2 linked regions of the Notamacropus eugenii genome follow. The protein of the gene in region 2 interacts with the protein of the main gene of each other region in a pairwise test. Links are inferred from orthologs where the notes say so. Each region holds a gene or a part of one and is shown on either strand. Other genes may lie near its edges. The genes, in order: RPL23 and BCCIP.

Evidence for each region.
Region 1: the proteins of BCCIP (region 2) and RPL23 interact in binary tests that used the Homo sapiens proteins (3 or more experiments, as listed by UniProt). The link is inferred for Notamacropus eugenii from reciprocal best matches to the Homo sapiens genes BCCIP and RPL23.

Annotation. Positions count from the first base shown.
Region 1 is NC_092873.1:354,397,208-354,414,339, forward strand, and holds RPL23 (large ribosomal subunit protein uL14), read right to left. Parts: upstream 6,518-17,132; 5' UTR 5,947-6,517; coding exon 5,934-5,946; intron 4,829-5,933; coding exon 4,745-4,828; intron 4,637-4,744; exon of another isoform or gene 4,503-4,636; intron 4,382-4,502; coding exon 4,253-4,381; intron 3,457-4,252; exon of another isoform or gene 3,321-3,456; intron 2,349-3,320; coding exon 2,235-2,348; intron 2,139-2,234; coding exon 2,056-2,138; 3' UTR 2,005-2,055; downstream 1-2,004. Other genes in the region: LASP1 (LIM and SH3 domain protein 1), read left to right, coding at 13,926-13,994.
Region 2 is NC_092872.1:282,194,072-282,210,354, reverse strand, and holds the start of BCCIP (BRCA2 and CDKN1A-interacting protein), read right to left. Parts: upstream 8,245-16,283; coding exon 8,023-8,244; intron 4,354-8,022; coding exon 4,279-4,353; intron 4,082-4,278; coding exon 4,001-4,081; intron 1,340-4,000; coding exon 1,247-1,339; intron 238-1,246; coding exon 62-237; intron 1-61. Other genes in the region: UROS (uroporphyrinogen-III synthase), read left to right, coding at 13,343-13,405, 13,591-13,674, 14,492-14,588. UniProt on the Homo sapiens protein: During interphase, required for microtubule organizing and anchoring activities. During mitosis, required for the organization and stabilization of the spindle pole.

The sequences.
Region 1 (17,132 bases), on a different chromosome or scaffold from region 2:
GATAGTTAACTGCCTGTTAGGATATTATCCATCTCTAAATAGATATCCCCTTGAATCAAAAGCAAAATGTCTAATAAGTCATCTCAACTCATACGTCTCCCAGCCCATTTCTGTTTAAAGAAGGGACTCACCATTGTTTCAGTAACAAAAGGTTTACAATCTCAATCATTCTTGAGTCTTTCCTTTCCCTTAACCTTCCTAATTAGCAAATTCTGTGAACATCTCACTTTCATTCACACTCTCACCATCTTGATTGAACTTTTACCTCCCTCGGGGTTTTATTCTGTTCACCTTCTTAAATTGTCAACATAATCTTAAAGCAGATTTGACCATGTCACTGTCCTAATAAATAACTCATCAACCATTTGCACAAATACAAAACTAAGCAGTCTGGTCTTTTAAAGTCCTTCTGGCTGCTGGTTTATTTCATACTATTTTTCACAAATATTCCAAGCCAAATTGGCTTGTCATTACTTGGTATCCCAGCTCTCAGCCTTTGCCAAGAGTTGTCCCCTATGCCTACAAGGCACACTATCTTCTGAAATCCCTAGTTCATCAAGACTCATTGTATGTAGTACATAGGAACCTTTTCTTAATCCCTATTTTGAATACCTAACTGCAGATAGAATAGAATTGGAATTGAACTGCCAGGCTTAGGGGCTACCAGAAATTTTTGAGCAGATAAAAGGTAAAGGGGGTTGGTTAAAGGAGAGGGTGCCAGTTTACATTTTTTCGGCAGCCTGTCTCAGGCTTTGAATGCAAGGGGATGGCAGTAGGAAGATTCACCAGCAATTCCTCACGGACCTGACTCCTGAACTTCCCATCAAAAGCTGTGTGAAAAAAAAAAAATTGATGAGTACAACTTTTATCTTTTTCAATGAGGGAAGTAAAATTCTATCTGTTACTTTACCCTTGTGGTTGTAAGCTTTTTCTTTCCTTGTCAAAACCCTCTCAATTAGATTACGTCAATAAATTCAGTGAAAATCACATTAATTTCAGCTGACTTTTGGGTGTTTCAAGGCTTGTCTATGAAGATCTTCACAAAAATCAACCCAGGGGATGTTCAGGTACACTACACTAATCCAAGAGAATCTTATACTCTAGGGCCAGCATACTACCACTGCCCTAACTGAAGGATAAAACATATCAGTTGGTCAATAAACATTTATTAAGCACCTACAAGCTACACTGTGCTAAGCACTAGGATACAAAGTTAAGACAGTCCCTACCCTTGAGGAGCTCACAGTCTAATAGGGAGAAGACAACATGCAAATACTGTATACAAATAAGCGATATAGAGGATCAACTGAAAATAGATCCAACTCTTTCTCCCTTGAAGCCCCTTCCACCCATTTATAAGTGTTTTCCAAGGTTTGAAAAGCACTCCTCTCCTAAATAATCCAGACTGACCTAAAATCCAAAGGCACATATGTATTTCTAGGTAGTATCCAACTGCTCTGTAAACAGCAAACCTAATATAAAGAAATGACAATTCTACTACTGGCAACACAACACAATGAAAACCTCAATCTACCAAATCACTGACCCAAGGAAGCAACAGGGAAAAGACAGTATATGGTATACCGTATTGTCCTGGTGTTGGTAAAATTACTTGTTCAGTTTTTTATTGTCAAAGATTACTGCGGTGGTTTGCCATTTCCTTCTCCAGCTCATTTTACAGATGAGAAAACTGAGGCAAAACAAGGTTGTGACCTGCCTAAGGCCAGACAGCTAGTTAAAGTGTCTGAGGCCAAATCTGAACTCAAGAAGAGTATTTCTTTTGTTCATCAGGCTAATCAAAGTCCAGTGCTCTAATATGTCACTGACACATTGGACTAGATTAAGTCAACCTCAAGTGGATGGTCTTATTTTAGGATAGCAGAAATGCTTTATCACAGGAGGGTTAACATCAAACCATTAGAAGAAAAACACAGGCTAGTTTTCAGACTTCAATGGTTCTGAAAAAGATCAGGGTAAAACAAAGACAAGGCAAAAAAGCAAATATATAGGCAGACACTTTAATGAGGCATTTTTTACAAATGGGCTTTAGGAGAATCAAGCAATGCTGCCTGCATTAGATGCAATCCTGGGCCACAAATCAGCACACTCCTTGGCAACAGGCCCTGTGATGGCTGAACCTACAGGAGAGAAGAGGAAAAAGCAAAAGCTGAACAGGTACTATCTTTTGAAGGAACCACCCACCCAACCACAGAAGAAAAAACCCAAACCCCTACCTTTCATCTCGCCTTTGTTGTTTACTATGACCCCCGCATTGTCTTCAAAATATAGGAACACACCATCTTTTCTCCGATACGACTTCCGTTGCCGTATTACCACTGCTGGATGAACTATAAAGGAAAAGATCAATGACAAGTTCAGCTCCAATAGGTGTATTATAGAACAACAAAGGAGATAACGGACATTCCCTCACCTATACTTTCCTCAACTACATATTGAAAACAAGCTTTAAAAGATACTTGGAGTCTCAACCAGAGTTCATGCTCTTAAATGAAGCAACAAATGGATGCTACAGATCACCTTGGCCCAACCTCCTCTTTTCACTGAAGAGGACCCATATAGGGGAAGTTACTTCCCCAAAGCAGCAGAGGTGGGCTTTGAACCCAGACGCATGCTGCTTGGTTGTGGCTTCTCAAAACCTGTAAACTGAACAAGTTTCCTCTGACTTAAGACCAATCAATTTTGAAAACACTTAAGAGCTTTCCTGCAAAACCAACTCAAGTATGGGGAAGGAATACTGCCTCAACTACTCTTTCTGTTGAGGAAAACCTGTAAGGAATTTTTTTAAACTCCTAAGAGAACAGGCTTCCTACCTTTGAAATGGTAACAATATGCTTAAGGGAAAGACCTAGAGAAAGGTTCTTCGCCTGGGGTCTATGATCTTTTCCCCAAAATTTGGTTATATTTTAATATATTTGGCACACAATCCTATGCATTTTGTGCATTTAAAAACAGCATTGAGAGAAGGGATCTAATCTGCCAAAGGGGTTAATGAGACAAAAGGGCTAATAATCCTTGAAACTAAAGAACACACAAATATGGAAAACAAATGTACCAATCAGGGACACAAATATAGGGATTCTAACAAAGGAAAGAAAACTGTGGTCTAGAATAGCCAGGGAAGGTTTCAAACAGGTGGGACACAGGGATCGGCAAACTAGCATGAGGGCCAAATCTGTCTCACCAGTTAAGAATGATTTTACACTTTGAAGTACAATAAATAAAAAAAATATTAGCTTGGGGTAATAGAGGCAGTTTTGTCAAACCATCCTTCTAACACACTGTTTTGAAAAAAACTATAGGCCTGTCACACCACTGATTGAGACCAACAGCACATGCAGCTGTTACCTCACCCAAAAGTGATGGTTGTTATATTCTGCCCTTTCTGGATAACTTCCCAAGTCACTGAAGAGACCCATAAAGTGCTTTTGAAAGGGAATTCAGCTTTACCTACTTCTCCATAAGACCATCACCCAAGTCAGAATGAGCAATAAATATTCAGATTTTCTGGGAGACAAGGTTTTAAAACTAACCTAAATACCAAAATTAGATAAAAACTTGTTATTCTCACTTATATGAATCACAGGCTTTTAGAATGGATCTCAGAAACCCTTATTTTACAAATAACTCACTACTACTTCATGATATGTACACAATATGCCCTCCCTAGGAAAGAATTCTATGATGTAAACTACACAGTGTAGATATTGTCTTTCATACTATGAACAGGTTCAGAATGAAGTCAAAACCGCCTAGATGGTTGTGGAAAGGCCAAAACTAAAACCCATCCATTAAGGAAAGCAAAGGTCTTATTACCATGCCTCATGGTCTTTTAAAAGGCTGAAGCCTGGGGAGCTGGGTTGGGCTTAGATAAAATCTCTTATGATGCAGTCAGTTCAGTCTCTTTCAGAGCCCACTATTACTGAGAGATCACTATCAGTGGAATCTTTATACTTCTCAAAAGAAATTTATGGAGCAATTTCTTTTTCTTCTCCACCCAGGCTTCTTTCACAGCTTAATGCACCCATCTTGAATATGGACATTACCCCATCAAAGTAGTGTGGAGTCCACCAAGGGAAGCCACTGTTGGATACTGAGGCCTAACACTTGAGAGACAAGGCTTCAGGGCCATAGCATTTCACATTGGAAAACTCTTAACAAGGGATCATAAACTGAGTAGGTCTTTCGATTCTCACCAAGAGAATGAAGGGGAGATTCTTTTTCCTCCACTCACCCTTCTTCCGGAGCTCTGGCTTTCCCTTTTTGACTGTAGCCATTACCATGTCACCTACACCAGCAGCAGGAAGCCTGTTCAATCTCCCCTTAATCCCCTTCACAGAGATGATGTACAGGTTCTTGGCACCTATAAGGAAAAGATTTGTAGCAGTGGGTTTTTTTTCATCATAAATGGCTACCAGACATTTATTCTTACCATTTCACTCCATGATGAAGTCAATGCTGAATGATACCTGTATGGCTAGAGGTATTGTTACACCACCGATTGAAGCTAAACAGCACAAGCTGCCGCTTCACCCAAAAGCAGTGTCATTTTCTTTACCCTTTCATGACGGCTCTATGGGTCATTGCAAGAAGGCCCACTGAGTGCTTTTTGAAGGGAGAAGTTAAGTAGAGCTAGACAGTCAAATGCTTCTCAATTCTTTGGGCATTTACCAAATCATGGTTAAATCCAATGGGAGGATAAGAGCCAAGCATACCAGGGACTCACCCGTATTATCAGCACAATTGATGACAGCTCCCACCGGGAGACCCAAGGAAATTCGGAACTTTGCTCCCGAAGACCCACCTCGTCCTAAGGAAAGATATACAAGAATCAATCCAGCATCCACAAAGCTCTTCTCCTAACTAGGTCTCTATTTCTCCTTAGAAAATTGCTTTTGGACTTACTTACATCACGGAGTTTTAGGTCAGAAGCAAACTTAGCAACTTATCTTATTCTACAGATAACTCACTTTCCTATTTGCTGAAAGATTCTCATGGGTATGGCCTTGTCTAGGCTGTAAACAAGAGGGGTGCAAAGATGCCCCATGGCTCCTTTCTTATAATACTACAACAAACAGATCTACTTCATACTTGGGATACTCACACCTTTCTCTAATACAAGCTAGGCACGGAAGATAAACTATACATGCGAAAACAGGCTCTTATAAGCAGAAGGCTTATTCAATTTACTAATACACCAAATATTTATTAAACCCATACCTCTGCTAAATACTAAGGATATAAAGGAAAAAAAAGTAACAGTTCTATTCCTCAAGCTTATATTCTGGGGAGAAAAGGTCTATGAAGAATACAGGGAATTTTAAAGAAGACAGTAGAGTGGATCTGGGAAGTAACGTGCATGAGGATGGGAGAGGTGAGCTGCAATTGGCTTAGAAGTAGCAATTTGACAGCTGTGTGAAGGATCCATTGGAAAGGGGAAAAGGTAGGAAGCAGGGAGAACAATTTGGTCTGCAACCATCAAAAGCGGTACGGCGGTCGTGAACGACCTCCATCCCAAGGCATCAGAACCCCTACGAGGGTGGCACGATTACCGCCCCACCCTACCTACCTTCTTTTTACAAACAGCTCCTTCCCCTCGGCAGAAACCCCCCTACTCCAAGCCTTCCCCTTCTAGGGCGCCTCCCCGCCAGGCAGGCCAGGCCTCCGAAGAAGGCTGCGAGTGGGCCAGAGCCGTGGCTCATGTGTCACAGGTGGACGGAAAAAGCCACTGAGTCCGTCTATCATCCCTTCCCCCATCTCCGGGTCTTTTCACTGCCTTCTCTCAAGGACAGGACTCTCCCAATTGGGTCCAGGGAGGAGCTAAGAGCTCCCGCTTCCCCATCCGGCGGCTCTTCGGCAGACCCCGGCCCCGAGAGCGAAGGATGGCGGCGGATTTCGCGGCTCAAGAAACTCACCTCGCTTAGACATCTTGATTCCCGGAAAGCACCAAAGAGAGAGGAAACGCGGGGCACTTCGGGAAATGAACAGAGAAGCTCCGCCTCCCCCTCTTGTCACGTGACCGGAAGCAGCTTCCTGCCCTCCAGAGGAGCGCTCCCCCGTCACGTGACTATAAAAAAATAAGCTAGCGACTGCGTGGTGGGGGCGGTGCGATGCACTTTGGCGCCCTCTTCAGCCCTGGTGGGGAAACTGCAGTTCGGAGCTGATGCTTATTTGAAAAGGCGAGGGACTAGCGAGTGTAGAAAATTGTATTGGTATTCCGTCGTTTTCGGTCGTCTACGATTCTTCGTAACCCTTTCTGGGGTTTTCTTGGCAAAGGAACTGGAGTGGTTTGAAATGGAAAAAGAAATGGTTCTTTCTCCAGTTCATTTTACACATGAGTAAACTGAGGCCGACAGGATTAAGTGACTTGCCCAGGCTCCCAATGCTAGTTAAGTGCCTGAATTCAAATTTGAACGGAGCTCTTGCTTACTCCAGGCCTGGCGCTCTATTCACTGCCACCTATCTCCCCCTATGTAATTATTAATCATACTATATGACAAAGACATAAAACAAAAGACACCTCAAAAAATAAAAAAGAAACAGCAAAGAGAAAAAAAGAAAATTCAATTAAAACCAATCACCCATCAATCGGATTTAATAATATATTAATAGTAATAATTCATTAATCAATATGGAAATTATATATTGATTAAATTGAAATAAATTTATCATTTACATTTGTATTAACAAGTTACATCATTTTGGTTAAATATATAGAAATTATATATATTATATATTATTTTTAAATGAAATTGCATTGTTTTTATTTATAATGCTATAATTCCAATTAAATCATTCATGTGTTTTTGTTTATATTATTTTCATATTGATTAATAATTTGCATTAAAATGTTATTATTATTGTATATATCTGGTTAATGGGTGATTGCTTTTTACTGAATTTTCTTTTTTCTGTTTCTTTTATTCTTTGTAATCTATTTTTTTTTGTCTCGTAACAAAAGGGTAGCTCGTTGAGCTGGTGAAGAAGAGAGATAGATATATTCAGAAATTTAGAAATTAAGTCGCTGTCAAAACAATACACCCCCCAAAAGATAAAAAATCAGTACTGTAGTGAAAGCAAGATAAGGGTTAGCTCAGTTTAATTCAACAAGAATTTAATAAGCTAGGTGCTGGAGATAAAAAGACAAAATGGAAAACAATTCCTCCCCTGAAGAAGTTTACATTTCAACTTTCGAGGAAACAGTGAGAAGAGACTCAAGAATTGTCATCTGGACCCTCCTGACTATCTTACATTATCCCAGATGAGATAGTATATGCAAACCACTTTGCAAATTGTGCTGTATAAATGTCAGTTACTGTTTTAAACTTCAGGATGATTATTAATATGAGGGTGGGTGCTTACTCCAGGGGTGTAGATCTAACCCACCCCAGTTTAGCCCTTCCCCATATCTTAAAAGATTTTCATGAATTACTTGTGGTAGAATTATGTCTACACCTGAGTACTCACAGTTGTCCCACTACAGGATCTGTTCACTATAGGGAGCCAGTTCATGAACCCAGGGCTCATCTCCACTCCCACAAAACATGGAAGGAATCAGATTTGTCCTTTACATTGACATGACATACATGTTCACCTACATTTACTATAAGGAATACAAACTTTTAGGAATTGACCTACAGTTGACTCGCTAGTACCTTGGGTTACACTGTTCTGGTTTCCTTGCAGGGAGTTTTCCTTGCCACATGAAACTGTTCTGGTGTGCTGGGGTACCAGTCTCGGGAATTTCAGGCATTTGGGACTAAAATACTTCGTTGTTTTGAAATACTTAAGTAATTAAAACAGACATCTCTTTTAAGAGGGGGCACCCGGAATTGAACCAGGGACCTCTTGATCTGCAGTCAAATGCTCTACCTCTGAGCTATACCCCCTTAGAACCTGTAGTTTATTGTTGTCACTTAAATGGATTGTCAACAAGGCATTTTTGAGTACAAAACATTCTTGGTAGATGTAATAAAATTGACTCCATTTCCCCAGACTCAAAGAAGTGATAATTCAATTTTTCAATCTTTATTTGTTGTTCTTTCCATTGACTTTGTTTTAGTTATTGTGCATTTTGTTTTCTTTACTCTGCTTACTTTACAAAATCCAGTTTGTAGCTGGTGATGACAATGAAGAATGAATCTGTCCCTGACCAACAGGTCAAATAGAAAGTAGAGAGAGTGCCATCTCCTTACTACTGGATTTCCACTGTTGCCCTCTTCTGAGGGGGAAGTTCTTCATTTATAATCTCCACCCTGCTGGTTTACACATTGGGTTTCATTTCCCTTAGGTGTTAAGACAGCTGGGAAGTTCTTTGAGTCTAAATTCTATCCTACCACTTTAACTTCTTTCATTTTCACTAGTGGTGGAACATCTCTGAGAAAATATTTTCGGTGGTAGTTCTGACCCTGGCTCATTGGCACTGCCAAGTATAACCTCAAAGTATAGCTAGAGAATGTTGAGAACTCTGATCTAGGCCACTACAAATGTATTGTCCAACTTTAACTGCACTCTTCTGGATTACTGACGATCTTTTAGCTTATTTCATTGAATCTTTCTTGAAACTCACAAAACCAAAATCTTTAACCTCACCCCTCCCCATCTTTCACTTTTGGCACAAAGCCTAAATAAAATTTTACTTTCCTGGTATCAAAATAATCAGGTTTTAAATCTCCATCTCTACTTCCGAATCTTTCTTTCTACACAAATCTTTCTTATCTTAGAGGAAGAGGATGTCCTGGTAATCTCATCCCTCTTTGCTTCATTAGTTGTCTTATTAGATCTTTATAAAGTTTTGTCAAACATCAGATTACTATGGTCAGTTATTGATGTAAATTTCATACCCAATCTATTCCACTGATCAAACCATTCTGTTTCTTATCTAGTAGTGCCAGATTGCTTTGATGATGACCAATTTGTAATGTCATTTGAAATCTGGTAGAACTAGTTTGCCTTCTTTCACTTTTTTTCCCCATCGACTCTCTGGATCTTCTTAAACTTTTGTTCTTCCAAATGAATTTTGTTATTATTTTTTCTCGCTCTATAAAATAATTCTTTGGTAGTTTGCACACTTTGCACACAATAGGCAAGCAAGCAAGTAATAATGGCTCATCCACCCCTCCATCCATCCATCTGTCCATCCATCCATCCATTCATCTATCCATCCATCCATCCATCCTTTCATCTGTCCATCCATCCATTCATCCATCCATTCATCCATCCATCCATCCATCCATCCATCCATCCATCCATCCATTCCTCTATCCTTTTCTCCTCCTGGCTCAGAATGATGCCTCCAACTCAACAAGATTATTTGAGAATTTTGGAAATAACTAGTACTAGTTATCTACTAATCTACTAGTACTAGTATCAGTATTACTAGTTTGGCAATACCTAATAAGTATTGTTAGTTATTTGTCTCTCTGGAATGGTCCACATTCTTTCTATGGTTCTTCCTTTTGAGTTGTATGGGTTCAGTACATAACAGGTGAGTTACCAAAAACTATTCCTTTACTTGCTAGGTGACCATGATATGAAGTTAGTATTTTTGTCTCAGATTGAGAGGAAGTAATTACAGTATTTCCTCACTCTTTTGGTTTAAGTGAATACATTTATTGCTTCTTAAAAAGAAACAGGACCTGTATACAATTTTGGTGACTTGACTTGACTGACCTACTTTAATTTTTTCATCTGCAACATAGATAAAAAATAACTATATATTTAAGGAGGTTTACTTGCTGCAAAGTTCAGGTTTTTGTTTTCTTGGGCAGATAGCATGAGAAACCATTCCTGAGGAATACTGGTATATAGTCTTTGAAAATAAGACTTTATTTTGCCTGTACCTGGAGGAAGAAAGGTGGATGGAAAACTGGGGAAGCCGTTTGATGAGAACAGTGGTTGTAATTCTCTACAATTTTTATTTTTATTTTTTTAAATTTTCTTTACAATTTACGAAGTCTTTGTTATTTCCAGTGTTCTCAAATAATCTTGGTGAGTCTGAACACGGATTTTTATCCTCAATTTACACATATTGGAGATAAAGTTAAATGTTTTCAAAATCTGTTGTGTTAGATTTGAAGTTTTAAGTCTTGCTTATACACTGGGAAATCTAGTGATGTTCTTTGGAAGAAAAAAAAAAATCTTTCCAGACTACAAAAAAAGCACAAGAACCTTACAGCTGCTGGAAAGCGATTGTATGAGTTTCACCAGCAGAGGGGGTATAGCTCAGTGGTAGAGCATTTGACTGCAGATCAAGAGGTCCCCGGTTCAAATCCGGGTGCCCCCTGTAAACTAGCTTTTGCATTTTCGTTGGCAACTTTCAAGTACTAAATCAACCTAGTCAAAAAAACACAAAACAAGGAAAAAAAGCTAACACCGATACCTTAATGCCAGTTCCGACGCGCGTCAGAAACCCGACAAAGAGCTGGATTGGAAGATTGACTGATAACAGAAGGCGTGGTCTCACAGACCTGAAGAAAGGCAGAGTGGAACTGGATGATGTACGATTATTCTGTACCTCTTCAATTTTGATCGCTACGGCCCCAGTCTGGATGCTCCAGATTCCCCACCGCCCGCGCTTCTCAGAGCAGGGAAGAGAGCACCCGGAGGATGGGGTACAAAAGCAGAGCAGACCCGATTCCCTGAATTACAGGGCCACGCGTACGTTTGGGTGGACAGGACTCAGAGCTGCTGCCCCCCGGCTCCTGGGCAGCATCGTCGCGGGAAGGGGGAGGGGCGATGTTCTGCCAGCTGTGGGGTGGGGGTGGGGGTGGAAGAGTCCAGCGTTGTTTTACATTTAATTGACAAATCCCTCTCCCTCCTCTTTCATTTAAACCACGTATGTGGGGCTGCACTTCTGCTTTTCCAGGACATTCCACTTTATCTGCATACTGGCCTTCTTCGGCCAACATAAATAAATAAACAAATAAGCGAGTAAATAAACAGATAAATAAAATATACGTATAAGATATGGACAGAATATACCGCGTATAAATATAACTTATGTATAGAAATCTATTTTATAAAATATAAGCATATAAAATTTTTATGTTTATAACCCCTGTTCCAAAGCCCTTGGATATGGAGTTCTACCTTTTTCGTGGAGATGATTACATATTTATTAACCTATGTCTACAACGCCATAATATGAAAATGTGTGTGTGTGTGTGTGTGTGTGTGTGTGTGTGTGTGTGTGTGTGTGTGTGTGTGTGTGTAATGGGCAGCTAGGTGGTGCAGTACATAGAGTACTGGGACTGAATCCGGCATCAGACTTTAGCTGTGTGACCCTGGACAAGTCCCTTAACCCTGTTTGCTTCAGTTTCCTCATCTGTAAAATGAGCTGGAGAAGAAAATGGCAAACCACTCCAGTATCTTTGCCAAAAAAAAACCAACAAAAAACCAAACCCAAATGGGGTCACGAAGAGTCGAACACTACCGAAACGACTGAACAAAATTGTTTCCCTCATAGAATAAAAGCTTCTTGATCAGCACTATTGCGAGTCACAGAGCATGCTTGTTAACTGATGTATCATAGCTAATTTTTCCTTCAGCCTTTATTGCAATCAGAAGTTAGGAGAGAAAGCACATAATAGGATTAACTTGAGGTCCCTCCCACACTTCCCTAAACTTGGCCCTAGGTTTCCAGGTAAAGAAATTTACAGTCCAGAGAGATGAAAAGCAGCACCTCTCAAAGGCTGGAGTTCGTAGTTCAGAGGAACAATTTCTGCCTCTTAAATGGTGAGGTCATGAATTTAAGTCCTTTGGAGATCTTGGGGAGTAGGAAAGCAAAGGCACGTGGAAGAATTATGAATTTTTTTTTTACAAGGCAATTAGCCACTCTTGATTTTCAGTTTCAGAAACCAGGTCCCCACGGTTCTGCTGAGCGCATTGGTTCTCCTTATAGGGTTGAGAGGGTGTTTTTCCTAATAGATGGGAGGGTATCTGGAAGAGTTTCATTTTTTTTCTCCCCTGTTCGGGTGGAAAATGAAGTAATAAGAATGGAAAGAATGCAGCATCAGATTCCCATGGTCCGGGTGAAAGATGACAGTCTTGCTCTGGATTTAAAATAACGCGGCTGACCTCTAACCCAGGAAGCATGCTCCACTCCTTCCCTTATTTTTTCCCTTTTTTGGGGCCAAAAATGCAGTTGAAGAAAGGATACTCATTCCTGTGGATTGTTTAGGGTCTCTCCCTTCCCCCTCCTCCTGTATTTCCCCTGGATGATAATATTAATAATAACCATATAAGCAGTTCATTGCCATCCTGGCATTAAACTGTAGTGATGAGATTAATCAACAGGGTTAGTATTTTAAAGAGTTTGCATTTGATTTACCCGAGTTATTTTTTTGTAACGAAATAATTACAACATAGTAATGATATTTTGTGTCTGCACAACACTTGTAACTTTTCCTAGACTAACTTTTACCGAAACTTTTTTCCTCCTCGACCCACCTCCCGGCTTCCCTGAAGTCTCAGCTAAAATCCCACCTCCTGACTTTTCCAGTCTATCTTAATGCAAGTGCCTTCTGACTGAGATGATTTCAATTTATCTCGTCTACATTTGTTTGTACATTGTTTGCAGTTGTCTCACCCATTAGAATGCCAGTTCCTAGAGGAAGGAGACATTTTTTCTTTTGCCTTTCTTTGTATCTTCTGCGCTTGGCAAAGTGACTGGCACACAGTAGGTGCTTAATGTGTGTTGACCGATAGACTACGAATGCCTATAGAATGCAAGGGAAACTTCACACTGCCCTTATCTCATCTGCTACTAAGCGGGGAGCGAGAGAGGGTTAGGGAGAATGGGAAGGAAGTGGAAGATGGAGAGGGAACTGGACCTCCAGGCCACGGATAATCGGGGAATGTAGCCATGGCTTTCTTCCCCCCCAGGTGCCTACACCCTCTGCCCTCCACGCCGCCCGGTGTCCGGAAATGAAGGGCTGCGGCAGGCTTGCCAGGGAGCCCGGTCGTTCCAAAACCTTTAAACTGGAAAGAGTACAGGGTCCATACTTGATTCCCTCCCTCTCCAGGAACAAAGCCAAACCTACAGAGCTTCTTTTAGGGAGACTTACTCGTCCACGGTTAGGGAGTATTAAAATGATCCCGCATTCTTTTCCTTTTTCTTCGGATCCATGGCGTCATTTTAAGACACTGGTCTTGAGACAGGGTCCCAACTAGAACGAACTCCACAGAAAACAAAAGCGCGGAAGGGGGCACCCGGATTTGAACCAGGGACCTCTTGATCTGCAGTCAAATGCTCTACCACTGAGCTATACCCCCAACGCCGGTGGGTCGTTGGGAAGTAAGTCTTTTCAGCCCCGAGCGATGGTCGTCGCTGCTGCAGCTGCAGACCATCCGAGGTGGGGGGAGAGCGAAGCCGGAGGTTCTCTAGAACCCTGCAGAAGAGAGCTCCTGGGGGACAGGGTGAAGTTCCTGAGCTGGCCGAGAAGGTGCAAGGTGCAGATGCCGTTGGGCCGAGAGGCTCCTAGAGGGGCACGTCAGGGGAGATCCCCCCAGCGCGCCCCCAGGAAGGACCGCTCCTCCTCCACGCAGTAACTCCGAGGCGGGTGTGATCTTCCTGGGGTCGGCGCCCCGTCCCCTTCGGCCTTCTCCTTGCCTCCCTTCCCCGGCTCGCCCCCGCGGCTCCACGTGAGCGCGCCCCGCTCGCTCCCCGGCCTCCCCTCGGAGCGCGCCCCCGTGGCGGCGGCGGCCGCGCGCTCCCCGCCCCGGTGCAGCCCCTCCTCCCGGCCGTGTTTATTAGGGGAAGCAGGGCGGAGGCGGAGGCCAGTTCCCCAGCTCCAGCCGCCGCCGCCGCAGCGCCCCAGCCCGCCTGGGGAAGGAGGGAAGGGAAGAGGGAGGGAGAGGACCAGCCCTGCCAGCTTGGGCGCCCCCGGCCCGCTCCGCCCGCCACCATGAACCCCAACTGCGCCCGGTGCGGCAAGATCGTGTACCCCACGGAGAAGGTGAACTGTTTGGACAAGGTGAGCGAGCCGCCGCCGCCGCCAGGCTGCCCCCCCGGGCTGCGTCCCAGTGAGCCGGGCGGGGCTCGGCCCCTACCTGCAGCCTCCCCTGCGAGGGTCCTGGACCAGCGGGGGGGAGGGGGGGGCGTCACCAGCTCGGACAATTTAAGGGGGCAGAGGGGGGACGCGGGGGTGCAGGAGCTCTGCGGGGCTCAGCGGGAAGGGGGCCCAGTCTGGCTGAGAGCAGCCCCGGCTCCAGCCGCTGGGATTCAGGGTTGGGGGCGGGATACTTCCATTTGTGGGGTCTCAGTGCGGGGGGACGTCCATGCCTGTCCAGGGGCCGCTGCAGGAGGCGACGTGGGCTCGGGGATGCTGAGACTGGGGGTGGGGAAGGGCTCCAGTTTGCCAAAGAGAGGGGCAGGGGAGCCGGACTAGTAGGACTTTCGGGGGACCAGACTTGAACCCCCTCATCCCTAGGCTCCCCCGGGCCCCGGGAAGGAGCCGCTCCCTCCACCGCGCTGAGCGCCAAGTAGGCGGAAGCGCCGGGTTGGGGGGAGGGGGGCGGGGCAGAGACTGGGGGGCCCCGTTACACTCTCCCTTGTGGGGCTCTGTCCCTTCCCCCAGTTTCTTGGCTGTAGGCTGGGGGCCTTCGATGAGTCCGAGCGCACGGATGGGCTTACACCGGGGGTTTGTGTGTGTGGGGGAGGGGGTTCCTCCATGAGAACCTCTTCTAAGGAGAGGCAGACTGGAGCACCCCCACCCCCCGGGTCAGGACTCCCTCTTGTTGACTTCCTCTTACCCCCAAAGGGTAAAACCCTCAAACTAGTTGCAGCCAGGATCAAGGGACTGTGGCTAGGCCCTTTGGATGCCCAGTTGGAGTAGATGGGGACGAGTGGAAGATGGGGTGTGGGGGGGCGGCTGTCCTCAGGTGGGGTCAGGGAGCTTGGTTGTAGAACAAAGAGTGAACGGATTGTTCGGTAGGTTGCTGGTGGGGAGAGTGTTGGGGGGCCAGAACTGGCCGAGTTTAAGGGAAACCTAAGAAATTGAGGGGAAAGGTGTGATTGGGAGAGAAAGTGGCCTTTTGGAAATTCCTTCACACGGGGCTGGCCTTTGTAACCCCCCCCCCCCCCAATACCTTAGCTTGCTCATCTGATTCCCATTAGTCTGTTTTGGGGATTGGGTGGGGAGGTGGAAGGGTTGTGTTTCCAATTCAGGGTTCCTCTGCTGCAGTTCTCTGAGTTCTATTGAGGAAATCCAGCATGTCCCCACGCTTCCCTTCCCTCCGCCCCCTCCTTCCAGGTGGTTTCCCCGGAGCCACGTCCACCTGGCGACCTTGGGAATGTTCCTTTTCCTTTTGTCCCAGTCCCTTTCCCTTTGCTTCCTATCTCTTCCCCTTCCCCCTCCCCCTCCTTTCCCTTTTTCAGGCCTGAGTATTCCGTGTCTTCTCTTTTTTTCTCCCCAGAAGTGTTCTTTGGGGGACTGGGGGAGGGGAGGGGCAGCCGGGCTGGGCTGGGCTTTCCAGGCCAAGTTTGTTCAGGGACTTTGGCTGATTTTGCTTTTGGAAGGCCAGGGAGAGCTCACTGGACACTTTGTCTCTTTTCCCCCTTCTCTCCTCCCCCTTCCTGCTCTAACTTCCTTGCTTGTCCCTGTTCTCCCTGAGTCACAGGGTGAGGGGGTGAAGTTCTCTATTGCACCAGAACTTGTCCTTGGAGCTCCGGGGCTGCTGTTATGGTGGTACCCCTGCCAGGACCCCGAGGGAAGGGAAGCTGGGAGAAAAGAAATATTGATAGCCTATATTGATAGCCTATCTCCTCTTAACGTTTAGGAGTGGGATGTAAGGGACAGAGTCTTTCTCTGTACCCCTCCAATACCTTGGTGAGTGTGTATCTAAGTTTAGTTTGGACACCTGGAGGTGAGAGTTCTGAGAGCTCCTGACGCCCATTGTACCCTAGCCTGGCATTTGGGGGTGTGCCCAGTAGCCTTTAAAGGAATGTATCTTCCTGGCCCCCTTCCTTCTCCTAGGAGTAGGGAACACTCAGGAAAGGGGTTAGGAAGGAATTAGAGTATAGTGAAAAGAGCTCTAGTTCTAGGTCAGAGGAACTGGGTTCAAATGCTGCTTCTGACGGTTACTATTATGTGACTTTGGCAAAGGCCTAGGGCCTCCATTTTTTTTATCTGTAAAATGAGGGAGTGGTGCCATCTATAAATCTGCTCCTAGTGTGCTTGGAGTTGGAGGGTGTTTTGGGGAGGGAAGGCAGGAAAGGGGATGCTAGGTCATGTCTCTTGAAAATTACCGAATTTATACTTTGCCAGACTGCAGAATGCTCCTGCTTCTCTGAGCCCAGCTCAGCCAGTTTGGAAAAACTGAGAATTTGAGAGGGAGAGTCCTTTTTTACTTGGTGAATGGGAGGGAGGAGAAGTAAGGTCAAGAATAGGGAGTCCCAGAAGATGCCCTGTGTTCCTCCTGGCCCATAGGTTGCCCTCCTCGGATGCTCCCTTACCCAAGCTGGAAGAGGAAGTATAGGTGGGCCTTAGGCTTGTCTTTGGGAAGTTCCTGTACCTCTTCCCCATCCCCCTTCCCTTTCCTCTGTATGACAGCACACAACCTGTATAACTGTCTCCTCCAGGTCAAAATTGGCAAAGAGATTCCACTCTCTTACCCCAAGTACAGAGGTGGACTTTGAAGAAGGTCAGGAGTTGAGTGAACAGTTTAGGGGATCCTGGCTTCCCTAGTACCCAAGTGCAAGCTGTTTCCCCCTCCCCACTCCAACGCCAGTCCTTGAAAGCAGCTGGATCTGAAAGCTGGCAGGAAGCAAGTAAATACCCAGCTTCAAGCTGTAACACAGTTTATGTTTTGGCTCTAACTTTCCAAGTCTCCATTTAGTAGAAGATGGGGGAAGGCCCCCTGCAAAAAATAACCCCATAGGTTCCCATTTGGGGCTGAAGAGGGTCTGTTTAGGTACATCCTTGGTTCTCCTCTCCTCTGGTGTGACATGCGACCTGTAGGAGTGTGCCTTGCACCCAGAGATCCACAAATAAGATGCTTTTGAAAGGGGTGAATTTTTCTTCCTTAGTTATGGGATATGTAATTTAGTCCAGAGGCAGAGGAAAGTACAGGATGATTTCTGGAGAGAAATACTCTTGTTTAGTATGTTAGGA
Region 2 (16,283 bases):
TCCATTTAGATCACATTTCTGAAACCATCTGGAAAAAAAATGACTTCAGAAGGTCTCTTACTGGAGCTGCTGGTGCATGGGCAGAGCGATCTGGGGCGGGACGTTAATGAATCTTTCACTTAGCAGGAGACCCACAGGTTTAGTGGGATCATTGAGGAGCTTATGCAGCTGTTCAACCATATCCTTCTCACAGAGGCTCAGAATCAACTCTTTAATCTGTTCAGTGCATTCAGTACCCTGGAAATCAAAAAGAAGGTTTCCTTGACATTAGAGACCAGCCAATGACATGAGAAAACCTGAAAGTCAGCTCTAACTCATTACTCTGAGGAGTCTACGGCCAAGTGAGTTCCTGCTCTGGTCTCAAAAGGGCTCTGCTAGTGAAATGTTTACCTCATTTCCAAGGTAACCGTTTTGCTGCTAGTGATTTAGCAACCATGTGGTCAGTGACAAGAAAAGGCTTCTGAATGATCATGATAACCTGCCTTACAAAAAGAGACTGAAAAGTGCACACAATTCAAGTGAGGAACAAGCCAACCTGATGAGACAAAGCAGGGAGAGGAAGTTTTATGAGAAACACATCAAGCAATGGAAAGAGGGACCAAAAAACCCATTTTCTCTGGCCGCCCCACCCTGCCTGGAATGCTCTCCCTCCTCATCTCCACCCACTAGCTTCCAATCAAAAATTCCACCTTTCCCAATTGTCTTCTATTTATCATCTATCCACTTGCTTTGTATATGCTTGCATATTTGGATATATATATATGTTTACCCATTGACACACATGTATCTGTGTTCTCCCATTAGACTATGAGCTCCTAGAGGGCAGGGCCTATCTTCTGCCTCTTTTTAGCGCATAGTAGGTGTTAAATAAATGTCTACTGACTGAAAAACACAAAATGAAATGTCACCAATAAGCTCACTGGCTTCAACTGCAGAACTCCCAAATCATCACTATCAGTATTCAGCCTGTATCAGTGAGCCCCTAAAACCAGGGCTCATGAGCAGATGTGTAGCCCAGAACAAGCCAACATTCAACAGGAGAACCCAACCGCTTGGAGAAGCATCTTCACTGAACCATGCAGAAACAATTCAAGATTTCTACTGAATCCCAGTGATATAGAACTTTCTTAATGAAAAAGTGTTTTCAGAAGGAATTACCAGACATCAGTGTAATCAGCACAAATGCCTAACAGGAAAGGTAGTAAATCTTAAGAGTATCCATGCAGACATGACACAGAGAGCTGACCTTGCTTTCGGTTAAATTCAAGAGGCTTATGAAACCAAAAATCTCGTCTTCTTCATCCTCCTCCTCATCACTTTCTTCTGGAACATCTGTTTGCTATTTTAAAATGAGAGATGTGTGAGATTTGGGTTCAGAAGAATGGAAACAAGAATGGGGCAGTCAGCATTACTGCTGATGTGTCTTCACTTAGACATTTCTCCCAGATTTTCCAAATCTTGTGATTTCAGAGTTGAAAGGGGCCCTGCTCCCAAGGCCAAACCAAAAAGGTTCAATGAGCTGATCAGTGTCACACAGGCCCATCCCCAGGGCTCCTTGACTAGGAGTCTGTCTCTTCCGTTTCTAAAAGGTTATTAGGCAGAAAATGGGCTAATTTTAATTGGCATTAAAACTGGCTAAGTCCACTTAACCTTTGGCCTGCTCATTTACTTATTGTTATATGAAATGAAAGGAAGAAAAGTTTCATAGACATTAACCCCCATGGTGCACTTCATGCAGCACCAACCTAGATGGCATCCAGAGCAAAGAGCTCCAGGGCATCTCTGTGCCAACAGAAAGTACAGATCTGGGGAACGAGCAGCATTTCAATAAAACAATAAATTGTTAGCTCTTTCTAGGGCACCAACAAGTTACAACCCCTCAGGTCTGCAGCCTCCTCACCCACAAGACGAGAGTGTGGGACCATGGTCCCTTCCAGCTCTGATTTTATGAAATCACTTTATGTACACAAATACTAAGCTCTTATTCTGGTAAGCTTCCCTCTTGACCAGATTCTCGTTATATTAAAATGCTGGGGAAGGATGAAAAGGAGAAACAAGGCTGACCCTGCTAGGATAGTATCTCACGGGCCACATAATATCCAGGACGCTGTCCTGGTCCGCCGAACAAAAACATCGCAGAAGTCAGGCTCTGGAAGTAGCCCAGGTGAAAGGTCACCCATACCTAAGACTGGGGGCCCTGTGAGTAGAGATGAAGAGAGGTGGTAGAGTGAGAATTAACCAGACCTGACAACTAACTGGACTCATGGCAGGGTGAGGGGCAGGTTTAGAAGGATTCCAAAGTCATAAACCTAGTGACTAGACTACGGTGGCTTTTTGAAAAGAAACCAGCAGTACTGAGAGAGGGGTACATTTCAGGGGAAATGTAACAAATTCTCTTTTGGACCCAACGAGGCTGGACATCTGGGTGGAAATGTCCATATCTGGTATGGAACCAGAACCCAGGAGAAAGGTGAGGATGGGATGTGGTACAGGGGACACTGGAATACGGGACTGTGACATGAGGGAGGGACAACTTTATGGAAGGAGGAAAGTAGAAAACAATTTTGGGGAAGAAAAAATCGTGCAGAATTTGGCATTGGTGCAGCTAGCCACTGGGAACCATTCCCTCTCCCTGTCGTTGCCTTTCAGATCTCATGAAGTTTTGGCTTCTGGGAGGGTTTGCACAGAATTCTTGTCCCAGAGTGATTCACTGAGCATCTGGAGCACCAGGACCAGGCCTGGCTCTTCCCAGGTTTTGCTGGGAAACATGGGGGCTCAACTTGCTCGGAGGCACATTAGATGTCACCTTCAAAAACCTCTCTTCTTAGACAGTGTCCCCAGCACTCGTTTCTCAAAGCACGAAGGACTTTCCCCTTTCTACAGAAAAAAGGGCTGCCAAATGTGACCGCTCTAGCCCCTCGTCTCCTCCTGAACCACTGGTCTGTACAAGGGCCTTTGGGCCCCGCAACACCCCCTGCTCTAACACTAGCAGCTGATGTATAGTTTACATGACCACGTCCAAGGACAGCCAGGTGCAGACATCAGAGTCTGTCTGCAAAGAGTTTCTTCTACAGCAAGACCCACAATGGTTCCCTCCTCATTTCCTTCCCCCGGTCCCCACTCTGGTTCCCTGGGACATCTTCCCTCCCTCCACTGATCTCTGATGCATTCATGCTTCCTATGATACAGACACTGCTATGTTTGCTTTGTGCGCCAGCTTGGACTCCTAACTCATACTGTTCTGTATGGTCACAGGGTAGGGTAAGGCACCCACAGCAGCCGTTGGGGACCCTCTATCACTAGGTCACAGGCATGCGCTTCTAGAGCTGGGCTGTGAGTCACAACTTGGGCTAGGTGAGGGCACCTGCATCACCTCTGCTGGAAAGAGGCTACAGCAGCTCACACTGCATGTGTGATGGCTCACAAGTGCTACGGTGGTGGGTATCACCGCCATCACTGAACATCTGGTCATTATGACTGTTATATCACATCCTCTTCTTTCCCCCATCCCTTTCTTTGTTTTCTCTTTCTTGGGTCACCTCCTCTTGGAACACAAAAACATAAATTCCATGGGGGCTCAGAATGTGGTCAGAAGTACAATGGGCTAGATTGGAGAGGAGAGGAGGGCATGACCGCCGGCTCACTACTACGGAATGGTTTGTGCCCTCAGGGGCTAGCAGCATGCCTGGCACCCAGTAGGTGCTTAACACATGCCTGCTGATTGACCTTAGACAAGTCCCTAGACCTCAGTTTCCTCATCAGTAAAATAAGGCCTCGAAGTCTCTACAGTCCCTTTACAGTCCTATGATCCTATGCATTCCAAGGTCTTGCCCAACTCTGAGATTGCCTAATGGCCTCATAAGTGATTCTTCTTTTTCTCCAAACAAAAAAACAAGGTAGAGACAAAAAGGAAGTTTCTTGGCAGGGAGAAATGGCCAATCACCCAGTTTGTGACTGTGACCATCCCTTCTCCCACACAAAGAAAGACTTGGAGTCTCACCTTAATGACGCTCCCCACGTGACTCTGCTGTATTAGCAGACTGGTGAGCTCAGCAATGTTCACTGCAGCCTTGAGGAAAAGCTAAAGACAAATAGGAAAACATTTAATTGTGAGAAGAGTGCAACATCTAAGTGAAGGTCGGATTCCTAGTGACAGGTTCAGGTCTAACAGGAGACTAACCAAATAAATGTCCCACGTACCCACCATTCTACAATCTCTTAAACAAATGTTGTTCCAAGTATTCTGATGTTAGAATAAGAACTTCCAGCCTGTCTTACCTGTTGTAGTAGTTTTTTTATTCCATCAAAGTCATCACTGGAGATAGAATGAGCTTCAAACTCCACTGTCACTTCCTGTAAACGACACCGAGGAAAAGGTCCCCCAGCCGCCTCCTCCCCACATTGCCTGGGGAGGGAGTGGGGGGATATGGGACTAAGTGGGGCTCAAACCAATCTGTGTCCCTGTACCCAGTTCTCCATCCCCGGGGTCCAGCCCAGCTAGGGAGAAGGCCTGGAGTTGTCCGATAGGGAAAGCATCACATGGGCTGTCACCCCCAGGGCAGGCAGGAGGCAGAGCCAGTGGTCCTGTCCCCTCCCAGTGTAGACATGGGTGGAGCGGTGCAGGGCCTACAGACCTACCCACAGACCCCCTGCGCCATGGCGAACACGCTCACGCTTGCACAACACACAGGTGCGTGCCTATGCGCTGTCTAGGCAGTGCATACAAACACACCCATGAATACACACATACACAAATGTCTGAATGTGCACACATGCCCAAACACATGTACATACACACAATGCAGTGCACGCACACACATGTGTAGGCACACACACATGTGTACACATACAGGGGAGGCCAGCCCTGGCTCAAAGGGGAACCTGCAGAGAGACTCGCGCTGGGGCTGGAGGCATAGACTTGGCAGGGAGTCCTAGGGAGGAAAGGAGTTGGAAACAGCAAAAGCAATGGTCATTTGCTGCTGAAGACTTGTGCATGCCATGACCTTCTTATCACTGACACTGTTTTCAGTTTACCTAAACACAATAAAACTTCATGGAAGCATGCTCGCAGCACACACTGGCATCTAATAGACTATGTGATCGTAAGGAGAAGAGACAGACAAGATGTGAGAGTGACAAAGGCAATGTGCGGTGCAGAGTACTGGACTGATCATAGACTTTCCAAGCTAAATATTCGCATTCATCAAAAGTGCTGCCCCCCAAGGCAAAATGACTACCAGAAGAATCAATGTCAACAAATTAGAGCTCTTCTCTGAGCATGAAGTTTGCTACTGATTTGGAGGGAAGGTTGAGCCAACGCACAATTGGTAACAGTGGAGCAGAAAGGGAGTGGGCAGCTTTCAGAGATTTGGTGCACAGCACTGCATTTGCTCATCTGGGTCAGAACACTTGCAAACACCAAGACTGGTTTGTTGAAAATGATGGGGAAACTCAGAAGCTGATAAACAAAAAACGAGAACTCCACAGGATTTACCAGCAGGATAGTTCATCCACCTCTAAGAAGGCAGCATTTAATTCCATCAAAAGCAAAAGCTACAAGCAAAGCTTAGAGAGAAGCAGGATTCCTGGCTCAGTAAGAATGCAGATGAAATTCAGTTTTATGCTGATAGTAACAATCCAAAGCACTTTTATGATTCCCTGAAAGCTATTTATGGACCAACAACCTACGATGCATCACAACTACTCAGTGCTGATGGAACCACATTGATTAGTGATAAGGACAGGATCCTAGAGAGATAGGCTGAACACTTCCATAGTGTTCTCAACAGACTATCATCAATCAATGCTGAGGCTACTGATTGTTTACCTCAGTTGAAGTCAATCCCTCCTTAGTTGAACTTCCAACTGAAGAAGAGGTTTTGAGGACCATTAGGCTCCTTTCATGTGGCAAAGCACCTGGTACTGATTCTATTCTAGCTGAGATTTACAAGGTACGGGGACCATTGCTCATACAAAAGCTGACTGAAATTTTCTAGGTTATATAGCAAGAGGAGGTTATCACCCAGGGGTTGAAGGATACCTCCATTGTCCATGTCTATAAAGGTAAAGGGAATAGATTGTCCTGTGACAATCAGAGATATCTCTCTTAGTCATTGTGGGCAAAATTCTTGCTAGAGTCCTCCTTAATAGGCTGATCTGACCTGGAAGACAGTCATATACCCGAGAGTCAGGGAACTTCAGAAAAGGCCAAGGAACAGTCAATATGGTGTTTGCCGCCCAACAACTCCAGGAGAAATGCCAGGAAAAATCTGACCAAGGCCTTTGACACTGTTAGTCACGAATGCTTATGTCAAATATGAATGAAAAATTATGTCAAAATGAAAATTATGTCAAAATTTGGTTACCTGGAGAAGTTCATCAGCATTGTACATTAATTTCATGATGGTATGTTGCCCAGGTTCTAGACAATGGACAATGCTCTCATGCCTTCCCAATGGAGTGAAACAGGGCTGTGTGCTTGCTCCCATGCTGTCAAATGCTTTCAATGAGAATGAACATGGCATCAAGTTCAGCTACCGCACTGATGGTAGGTTCTTGAATTTGAAAAGGCTATAAGCCAAGACCAAAATGGAAGGGAGTGTTTGTGCACGACTTTCTGTTTGGAGATGATTGTGCACCCAATGCAGCCTCTGAAGCTGAGAGGCAACAAAGAATGGATCAATTCTCTGCTGCCTGTGCTAACTTTGGTCTAATAATTAACACCAAGAAAACATAGGTGCTTCATCAGCCACCACCACACCATCCATACATGGAACCATCAGTTACAACAAACGGAGAAGTTTTGAATGCTGTGGATAAGTTCACTTATCCTTACTAGTGTACTTTCCAGGGATGTACACATTGATAATGAGGTTGATGCACACACTGCCAGAGATAGCTCCGTGTTTGGGAGGCTCCAAAGAAAAGTTTGGGAGAGAAGAGGTATTAGACTGACTACCAAACTGAAAGCCTACAGAGCCATTCTGTTGACCTCATTGTTGTATGCCTATGAAACATGGACAGTCTGCCAGCGCCATGCCAGGAAACTGAATCACTTCCATTTGAACTGTCTTAGGAAGATTCTGAGGATCACCTGGCAGGATAAGGTACCAGACGCTGAAGTCCTTGCTAGAACTAAACTGCCAAGCCTTCAAACTATGCTTCAGAGAGCACAACTCTGATGGGCTGGCCACACTGCTCGAATGCAAAATATACACTTGCCAAAAAGACTACTTTATGGAGAACTGGCATGGGGCAGGTGATCACGTGGTGGTCAGAAGAAGTGATACAAGGACACTCTCAAGAACTTTGGATCTGACTGTGCAACATGGGAGACACTGGCACAGGACGGCTCAGCATGGAGTGCCCACATCAGAAAAGGGGCCGTGCTCTATGAGCAAAGCAGAACAGACAGCACAAAGTAAGTGTAGGATGTGCACATTTGGAGTATCCACCCCAGATACTCCCACGGACTGTCTGTGCCCAACCTGTGGCGGAGCACTCTGAGCTCGTGCTGGTCTGACCAACAGTGGGACACACAGAAACTTCACTTTATCATGGTGACGTCATTTTGGTCCTCTTTGAAGACGAAGGACAACAGCCACGTGAAGTCTGAACACGCACCCGTGCCCAAACACGCACATATGCACACAAGGCAGCACAGGCACACACGTGAGCGCACACGTGAGCACACACAGGGACACTCGCACACCCAGGGGAGGCCGGCCCTGGCTCCAAGGGGAACCGGCAGAGAGCCTCGCGCTGGGGCTGCAGGGCATACGGGGCATACGGCAGGCATTCGCTAATGCCCACTGCAGCAGGGGGGGAGGGGAGAGGAATGAGCCAAGTCCCTCCCTCTGTCCGGGCCTCGGTTTCCCCACCTGTCAAAAGTGTGAGAAGCCAGACTGGGCCCTCCCCACGTGCCTAAGGCGTGCCACGTCCTGAGGGACAGAACCTCCCGCCCTCAAGGGGCTGACAGGCTACGCGGTGACGTCACTGAGCGCCGCGGCAGGTCCACCCCACCTGGTTGACGAGCTCGTCTTCTTCGTCCTCCTCTTCATCGCTCTCGTCGCCGCTCTCGTCGGTGTCCTCCGCCGTCTCCTCGCGCTCCTCCTCGGCCCGGGCTCCCGGAGGCTGCGGGTGCCGGTTGCCCAGGGCGCGCTTCTTGGCCTGGGACGCCATGCTGCCTGTCTCCCACTGCACCTGCGCAGCTGCTTCCGGGTTAGGGCTTCTGGGCCGGCTCATGCGCGTGGGGAGAAAGTTCCCAGAGTATGGGCGGGAGAGGAGCGAGTCTAAGGCGCTTTGAAGCCCCTAAAGTAGGGAGAGCAGCCTTCGAGCCTGATCTGTTTCGTTGAACATTAAATGATCCTGGATGCGCCCTGATGCTGGCCTCCCCGGGCCTGAGTTCCCCCTCGTCCGACAGTGGTTCGCTCCACCGAGGGGGGAGCTGGGAGTGGATCCTTGGAAGGGCAGGGGGCGTGGCCTGCTGTGCGCGTGCGCCTACGCCCGTGCGCGTGCGCACTTGTGCGCGAATCACTTAAGACCTTCGCGTGGCTCTCTTCGTTTACCGGCGGGGAAACTGAGGTCGCTGCTGTCTCCCAACATCATGGCTCCGGGTCAGTGCCCCCGCCCCCCAGGGCTGTCCACGGCCACGAGCATTTTCAAAGGACGTACCTTCCGTGGAGTCCAAGGCCCTTCCCTTGTGACAGAGAAGGAAACTGAGACCCAGGAAGGGGAGGGAGTGGCCCGAGGCCTCCTGGGCAGGGAGTTAGCAGAGGCACAACTCGAACCCGGGCCGGGCCTTCTCCGACCTTTTCTTCGTGTGCCTCTAAAACCCTGCCCAGTGGGGGCCTAAGGGGTCATCTAGTGTCAAGGGTCACCCAGGGCCTCCGGGTCATCGATCACAGCACAGAGTCCCTCCCCTCACGTTCCCCTGTGCCAGTGGAGCCAGCCCGCACCATCAGCCGCAGGAAGCTCCGGGACCCCCACAGCCATCAGCGTGTGGCACAGTGCTCGAACCCAGGTCTTCTTCCTCCCGCTCCCTGGGTCCGCCATCCCCCTGGCCCGGCTGCACGCTGGACAGGCTGCAGGGAGAAGCTCTGTTTAATGTGCCCCGCCTAAGCTCCTCCTCTCCCGTGCCAGGCGCTGGGAGTGCCACCAGCCCCAGGGCCAAGGGAAGGTTTTGTGCAGCCCCAGACCTGAGCCTGTGTGGGGGAGGTGGGGGCCACCCCCGCGGGAGCTTAAGTCAGAGCTGTCTGGAAAGATGGCATCCGCCTCTTCCTCCCAGGAGACTGAAGCTGAAGAGGAGAGGCTTGGGGAACCGGAGCAAGGAGGTGAGAGTTTGGGGTTTGGAGGCAGGAGCCTGAGAGAGACAGCCTGGGTCAGCCTGTTAAGAATGGGCCTTGGTGGTCAAGAACAGGTGGCACTAAAGAAAGTCGGAGGGCTGAGGGGCATCCAGACACTCTCAGAGCTCAGCTCACACCCTCACTTCATGATCTCAGAGAAAGCAATAGTAAAAAGAGATTTAACTAAAAGAGAAAAATAGGGAGTATACACACACGCACACACACACAAAATGACATGACATCTGAATTCTTACAAGAAAAGTTAAATGTGTTATAGGAAAACACAGTAGAACTATAATAGTAGGGAGGGAGCTTCTGTTTACCCCCTCACACCTACAGGAATCTAACCAAAAGAAGCAAAGGACCTAAATAAGATTTTAGAAAAATTTGATATGATAGTCCTCTAGAGGTTGTCAGATGGAAATAGAAAGGATTATATATATTTATCACCTGTAGACAGCACCTTTACAAAAAAAAAAATGACCATGTAATAGGGCATAAAAACCTCACAAACATGCAAAAAAGCAGATATATTAAATGCACCTGTTTTACAGACCACAATACAATTAAAAATCAACAAATATTCACTAAATTAACAATTAAAAATTAAATGGAGACTAACTCAAGCCTAAAGAATTGGCAGGTCAAAGAACAAATATAAACTGATCACTTCATTTAAGAGAATTACAACAAAGAGAAAACATAGCAGAATTTTCAGGATTCAGCCAAAGTTATCTTTAGAGGAAACTATGGCTCTAAATACTTTGATTAGTAAAAGAGACCTGATCAATGAATTGGGGCAATGCAATTAAAAAACACACACACACTAGAAAACCAACAAATTTAAGCTCTCCAAATAAATGCCAAAATAGAAAATCCAAATATCAAAAAAGATTAATAAAATTGAAAGTGAAAAAAATTGAATTAATAATACTAACAGCTTTTAAAAAGATAGATAAATCATTCAAAGAGAAGAAAACGAAATTACCTAGCATCAAAAGAAAGATAAATCCATCCACTGAACCTCATTTGTGTCTAGTGGCATTTGTCAGCAGCCCTAGGGGTGTCCATCAGCTCTCCTTCCCTCCCACTAGCTAACTGGCTCTTCTCTCCCAACTGCACATTTCCCAAATGTTATCTTTTACATGCAGGAGGCATGCACCAAGTAGGGCCCGGTGGGGAGAGAGTCAGTCTCAGAACCAGGAAGGTGAAGACTGGAGTTCTCCTTCTGACACACACTGGCAGCTGACCTGACCACCCTTAGAACACAGTTTTCAAAGCAGGTACCAGCCTGGTTTCGTAGAGGGGGTTCCTGTGGTCCAGTCCCCTTCTCTCCCATGCACACCCCTGTTCATGCCCACGTCACCTCTGGTGTCCACCTCCTCTGACTCCTTCACAAGTGTGATCCTTGATCATTGAAACACCAGCCTGACTTCCTGGCCGGAAACAGGGAATTGTTGAAATGATAAACTTTTTTTTGTAGTTTGAAGTCCAAAAACAAACTAAAAAGGTCTTAACATTGCTAATGAGCTCTTTTTTTAGCCTTGGGTCCAGTTGCTGGCTGTTTTCTCAGATGGACCTAATATAGTTTGTACCTGGCCTATTTGGGGACTGAGGGGTTATGGCTTTGGTTAGATTCTTTTCTTACAGATAAAAGAAAGCCTCAATTAGGAGGACAATATTGATGAAAAATGTGCCTCTGCACACGCAACACACATAAAAGAACATCAGCTTTGCCTGGAAAAATTTTTTTTAAAACGAAAGTACTTTTTCCTTTAAAAACAAAAAGATCTCAGGATTCTGGCAGGAAACCTCAGTAGTTGATGGTAATACAAAGACTTGTCTGCAGTGTTTTCCCTGAATTTTCCATTGGAGAAATCACTGGGGATATCAGGAAAAACAGCATAGCACATAAGTAAAAAAAAGCTCATTTTGCACTAGGCTGTTGGGTTTTAAAACATGTTTGATCCGTGAATAAAACCCTTTTCTGTGTAAAGCCCTTTCACCTTGAAGAATGTCAGTTCACAGGAGTAAAGGCTAACATTTATGTGGCACTTTAAGGTTTGCAAACTGCCTTATAGCTGCTATCTCATTTCATCATCACAACAGCCCTGTGAGGGAGATGTTATTCCTGTTCCCTTATCACACATGAGGAAACTGAGGCAGAGAAGTTAAGTGACTGAGCTAGGATGTCCAGCTAAGTCTGGGTCTAGGGCATCTTTCTGATTCCACATTCAGTACCAGTGACTCTACCAGTCAGCGGGCTCAACTCCGGGTGCAGTAATACTATTCCAGTCTCTGAGTTTTCATCAGTTCTCATCAACTCCCTCTACTTTTGGAATACCTGCTTCCCCTCAAGGTACAGCTCAGTTGCTTTTTGTTCCAGAGGCCCAGGCAGAGCCCCCCAGTTACTTTGTGTCCATTTTGTGTTTACTTTTCCTTGTTCACGTTTCTCCGGAAAAGGAGAGAAGCTCCTTGTGGGCAGGACCTGTTTCATCTTTTCCAGGTACCTGGCACAGTACAAGCTTAAATACTTTGTAAACGACAGTCATCTGGGCCTAATCTGTGTTTTTGTGTTTAACACTTAAGGAAACAGAGTCCCAGAGAAGCTCGAATGATTTCACAAATGCCTTCCAGTGCTATAGTGGCTGAGTTGAGCTATAAATGACCCACCATCCAGCACTTTGGGGATACTGATCTGTCCTTTCTAGCCACTGCAAGGAAACAAGCAAAGAATTTGACTGCAGTAAATAAAGTAGAGAGGGGGAGGAAGGATGAAGCAGACTGCAGCACAGAAGGAAGCGAAGGGCCAGAAGAGGAGGAAAACAAGAGTTGGAATGAAATACCAGAAAAAAGGCCTTTCTTGCTCTGCTTGGGCATTGAGAGGGGGCTGCAATGGGAGTCTAGGTTGGACGGTTTCAGCCACAGCTAGGAAAGGACACAGTCTGGTGCTGACAGTTTCAGTATGAATTGGTGCTTTCAGCTGAAATGGGCCGTGGCTGTTTCATCCTCAAGTTAGAGGGTACTTGAGTACACCCTGAATGAGATTCTGTTCGAACTACAAATGCCAAGATGTCCATGCCACTCAATTACATCCCCATTTCCTTGGGGTATTAGGATTGTGAGAGGCTGTGCAGCTAGTTTCTGGTTGAAACACATTATGAATAACTCCATGAAATGATTAGATAATACCCATCTCCCCAAAGCAGCCATCGCAATCTAGCTGCCTTACCGTGAAGATAATTAGAATTTGGTTTCATAAGCATTATTTGTTTGCCAAGGCTTTGTTGCTTAGATACCAAGGAATAGGATTGTTCAGTCAGGGTCCTAGACAAACTCTGCTGCCTGCTGACCTTCTGCACTGAGAAGGAGGTCAGCAGTCTCTTAGAAGTGATAGAATTTTAGCTTTGCCTGTCCCCTCCCCTCATCTTCTATTGATGAAGCAGTACTTGGTAGTTAAAGGATATATTACCAATGCATAGGCACCCCATTCTTCACCACCACCACTGGCTGCTGAGGGCTGTGACATTTGTAACATGACTTCCCAGGGCTCAAGATCCTTCATGGACCATCCCTACGCACAATGATAGGGGGTCTGTACTAGGGCTCTTTCCTGCAGTGCATTAGGTATATGAGAGACTTTCTTTTCCATAGCTGTCAATGTGCCTAAATAATGTGGAGAGCTCTCATAGCCCCTTCCCTTGGAAAGAGCCTTGAGGGCTTATATTTTCCCTGTCATCCAAACATGAGCCTTATCAAAGGCAGCCTGCACATTTCTTGTCATCCTTATCAGTGATTCAGCCACCCAGGGAAGGGCCTGAGCTGCTCGCTGCTTACTCACTGCCAGGAACGAGGCAGGCGCTTCACCAGGTCCATTGACCAGCTTCTGCTTGACCCAACCTGATCCTGCAAGGGTAAGGAGAAAAGTCCCCCAGATCTAATTAGGATCCATTTCCCTTCTTCCTTTTAGCCTTTCCTAAGGGCCGGCTGATAAAAAAATGAAGATTCTGTTACTGAAAGACCCTAAGGATGATGACTCAGGCCAGGATCCCTATATTCAGGTAAGTGATCCAGAGAATTACATCATGACCTCTTGGCACCCAGGCTTGCCTTCACTGTTCTTCCCTGTGGGTGTCAGATTGGGCTGGGGGAGGCAGCATTGACTTCCAGAGTGGGGTCCTGGGGCCCTGCTTTTGTTTTTAAGACAACTCTCAGGTCTTGAGTGTTGGTACTTCTTTTTCCTCAGGAATTGGGATCATGTGGATTTGCAGCTACATTGATACCTGTTTTATCCTTTGAGTTTTTGTCTCTGCAGAGTTTCTCAGAGAAGGTAAGGCCAAATACTCTGCTCTGTCTGTCCTGCCAGGGAGGGGTGGCCAAGGGCGGGCAGGGAATGAGCTAAGTCTGGGACAGGCTTTTATCATGTGTGTCAAGTGGTCAGGGCCTTGGCTGAAGAGCAGCTGACGAACAGCACGTCCCAAAGCCACCGTCTTGTTCCAAAGCCACTGTCACGTTGTACACCATAGGATGCCACCAGCCCTGCCCCCTAAGTAGGGAAGTGAGCTCTATTCTAGCCCGTTGGACCCCAGGGTGTCATTGCAGCTGATCTGGATTCGGACGTTCTCCACATTGGCTTCACTGCCAGTATGGCAGTCATCGTAGTTTATATGTCTTCTCAGACTTCTTGAAATTTTTCTTCCTCTCCATCTATAAAGACAATTCGCACACCGTAACTTATTCACCCATCCCCTAAACAACGGGCCCCTGCTTTATCACCACCTTTCTGCTGCCACTTAAATGCTGCTTTGCGTGTTCTGGCCTCCAGGGCATCCCAGAAGTTGTGGTGCCATGTCCTGACCCTTTCTGTGGTCATCTGCACTTTTATGGAGCCTTGTGGAGCGGCTGAGTCATTTTTCTCCCAGAATTCCAGATGAGAGAACATAAATAAGTTACTTTGATGCCTATTCAGGTGCTACGTAATTGTCAGCTGTTGTAATTAGATTGGTACATACGTATTCCCTCCTCCCCCATAGGATAAAGCACCATGAGGGGAGGGATGGTTTGGCACCAGAGATAGGCACATGGAGGTGCTTAATAAATGTGTGCTGATTTGTTGGATCTTACTGAGATGTTTTGTGTGTGGGCAGCTGTCTCGTCCAGAGGCTTACAGGGGGCTCATTTTCACCAGCCCCCGCGCAGTGGAAGCTGTGAAATTGTGTCTGGAAAGAGACAACAAATTGGAAGGTGAGTCTGCTTCTCTCATGTCACATTGAAAACAACCAAAAAGCCCAAAGTCCCCTGAGAGCATCAAGGTGAGATGAAAATGCCCCTTCTAAACCCTCCATTTCCTGACTGCCCTCTCCCCAAGTGAGTGAGACCCACCTGACCAGAGAAGCTCCTGAGCTTGGCTCCTCCCTACTCATCCACTAACATTTATGTACCACCTGAAGACTTGCAAAGCACTTTACAGAGATACTGCCTCTGATCCTCACAACCACTCTGCCAGGGAGGCACAGTTTATTATCTCCATTTAAATGGGAAGACCGTAGGAAACAGGATTAAGTGACTTGCCCAGGATCTCACAGCTGGTAAATGTCTGAGACTGGATTTGAACTTGGGTCTTCCTGGCCCCAAGCCCAGCCCTCTATCTAGTCCTTGGAAAGCAGGGCATGCAGGCTCCAGGAGGCACCACCAATGCCAGGCAGCCACAAGCAAGGCCAAGTTGCTCTCAGCCAGCTATGGGAGAGGGGTATCTCCAGGTGAGCAGCTGGATTCACCTGCCAGGCCTGCCTTCCCCAGCTCCACAGGGAATTCACTCCCTTCATGATACAGTGCTAAAATTGTTGGGGGTGGGTACCCCCAGGACTCCTCCCTCCTCGCTAACATAGGTCCAGCCAACACTTTTCTCCCCCTGCTTTATAAGACTGCCTCAGACCTGTTTGGGATCTGAAAATCACTGACTTGGAGATGATGCAAAGACCTATTTGGCTAAAGAAAAAGCTGGTGCCCCCTGGCTTTGTCTGTGGAGGGAGCCTTGGGCCTGATGGACCTGACTTTGCCCCTCACTCCCAAGGCCAAGTCCCTTTATACCTCTGAGCCTCAGTTTCCCTCCTCTGTAAAGTTAGGGGCAAACTAGATGCTCTCTGAGGTCCCTGTAGGCCCATGTTCTGTATCCTCATAAGTTCATACGGGGCACTATTCCATCAGAGAAACAGGCTTCAAACTGTGTGTCCTGGGCTAGGCATTGACTCTCTGAGCCTTCTAGTTGTCCTCAGTGAAATGCAGGGTCTGGACCAGGGAAGCCCTGACTGGGTATGGTCCTTGCCAGCCCGGACGTCCTGTGGTTTGAGATTTAAGGGTCCTTCACTGTCACTCCAGAAATGTTCTCTTTAAGACAGGAAAGAAATCACCAAAGGGATTTCCCCAGATCCCTAAGATTTAGTTCCAGAGCAGAGCTTGTCCCTCCCAGCCAAGGGCACTTGAGAACCTATTGGGTTCCAAGTCACCTCCATGCATGTACAAACCTGCTGGCAAGGGACCATGAGCTGATAGTTACCTTGGATGCCCGTGCCTTGGTTTGCTTGGCTGCAATCCTAGTGGGTGAAGAGTGGGGGGTTGCCATTCTGTGACCCAGTGATGGCTGAGGATCTCTCCAGCTCTAAAAATAAGCACACAGTCTTGGTCTTCAGGGGAGAAATGAAGCTCCCAGGAAGACCCCATAGCCTTTCGCTCTCCCAGCTTGGGCTTAGCCTCTTCAGGGCTCTTGGCCATGCAGGCCAGCCACCCTAGGGGCTGCCCAGTAGTTTCCTGGCCAAGGCAGTCTCAGCGTGTGTGCAGGATGCCTCCTCTGTGAGCTGTTTGCACAGTACGCAGAGTTGCCTCCAGAGTCTAGGTGGCTTTGGGAGCAAGAATGTGTTTACTTTGCCCTTCATTTACAAA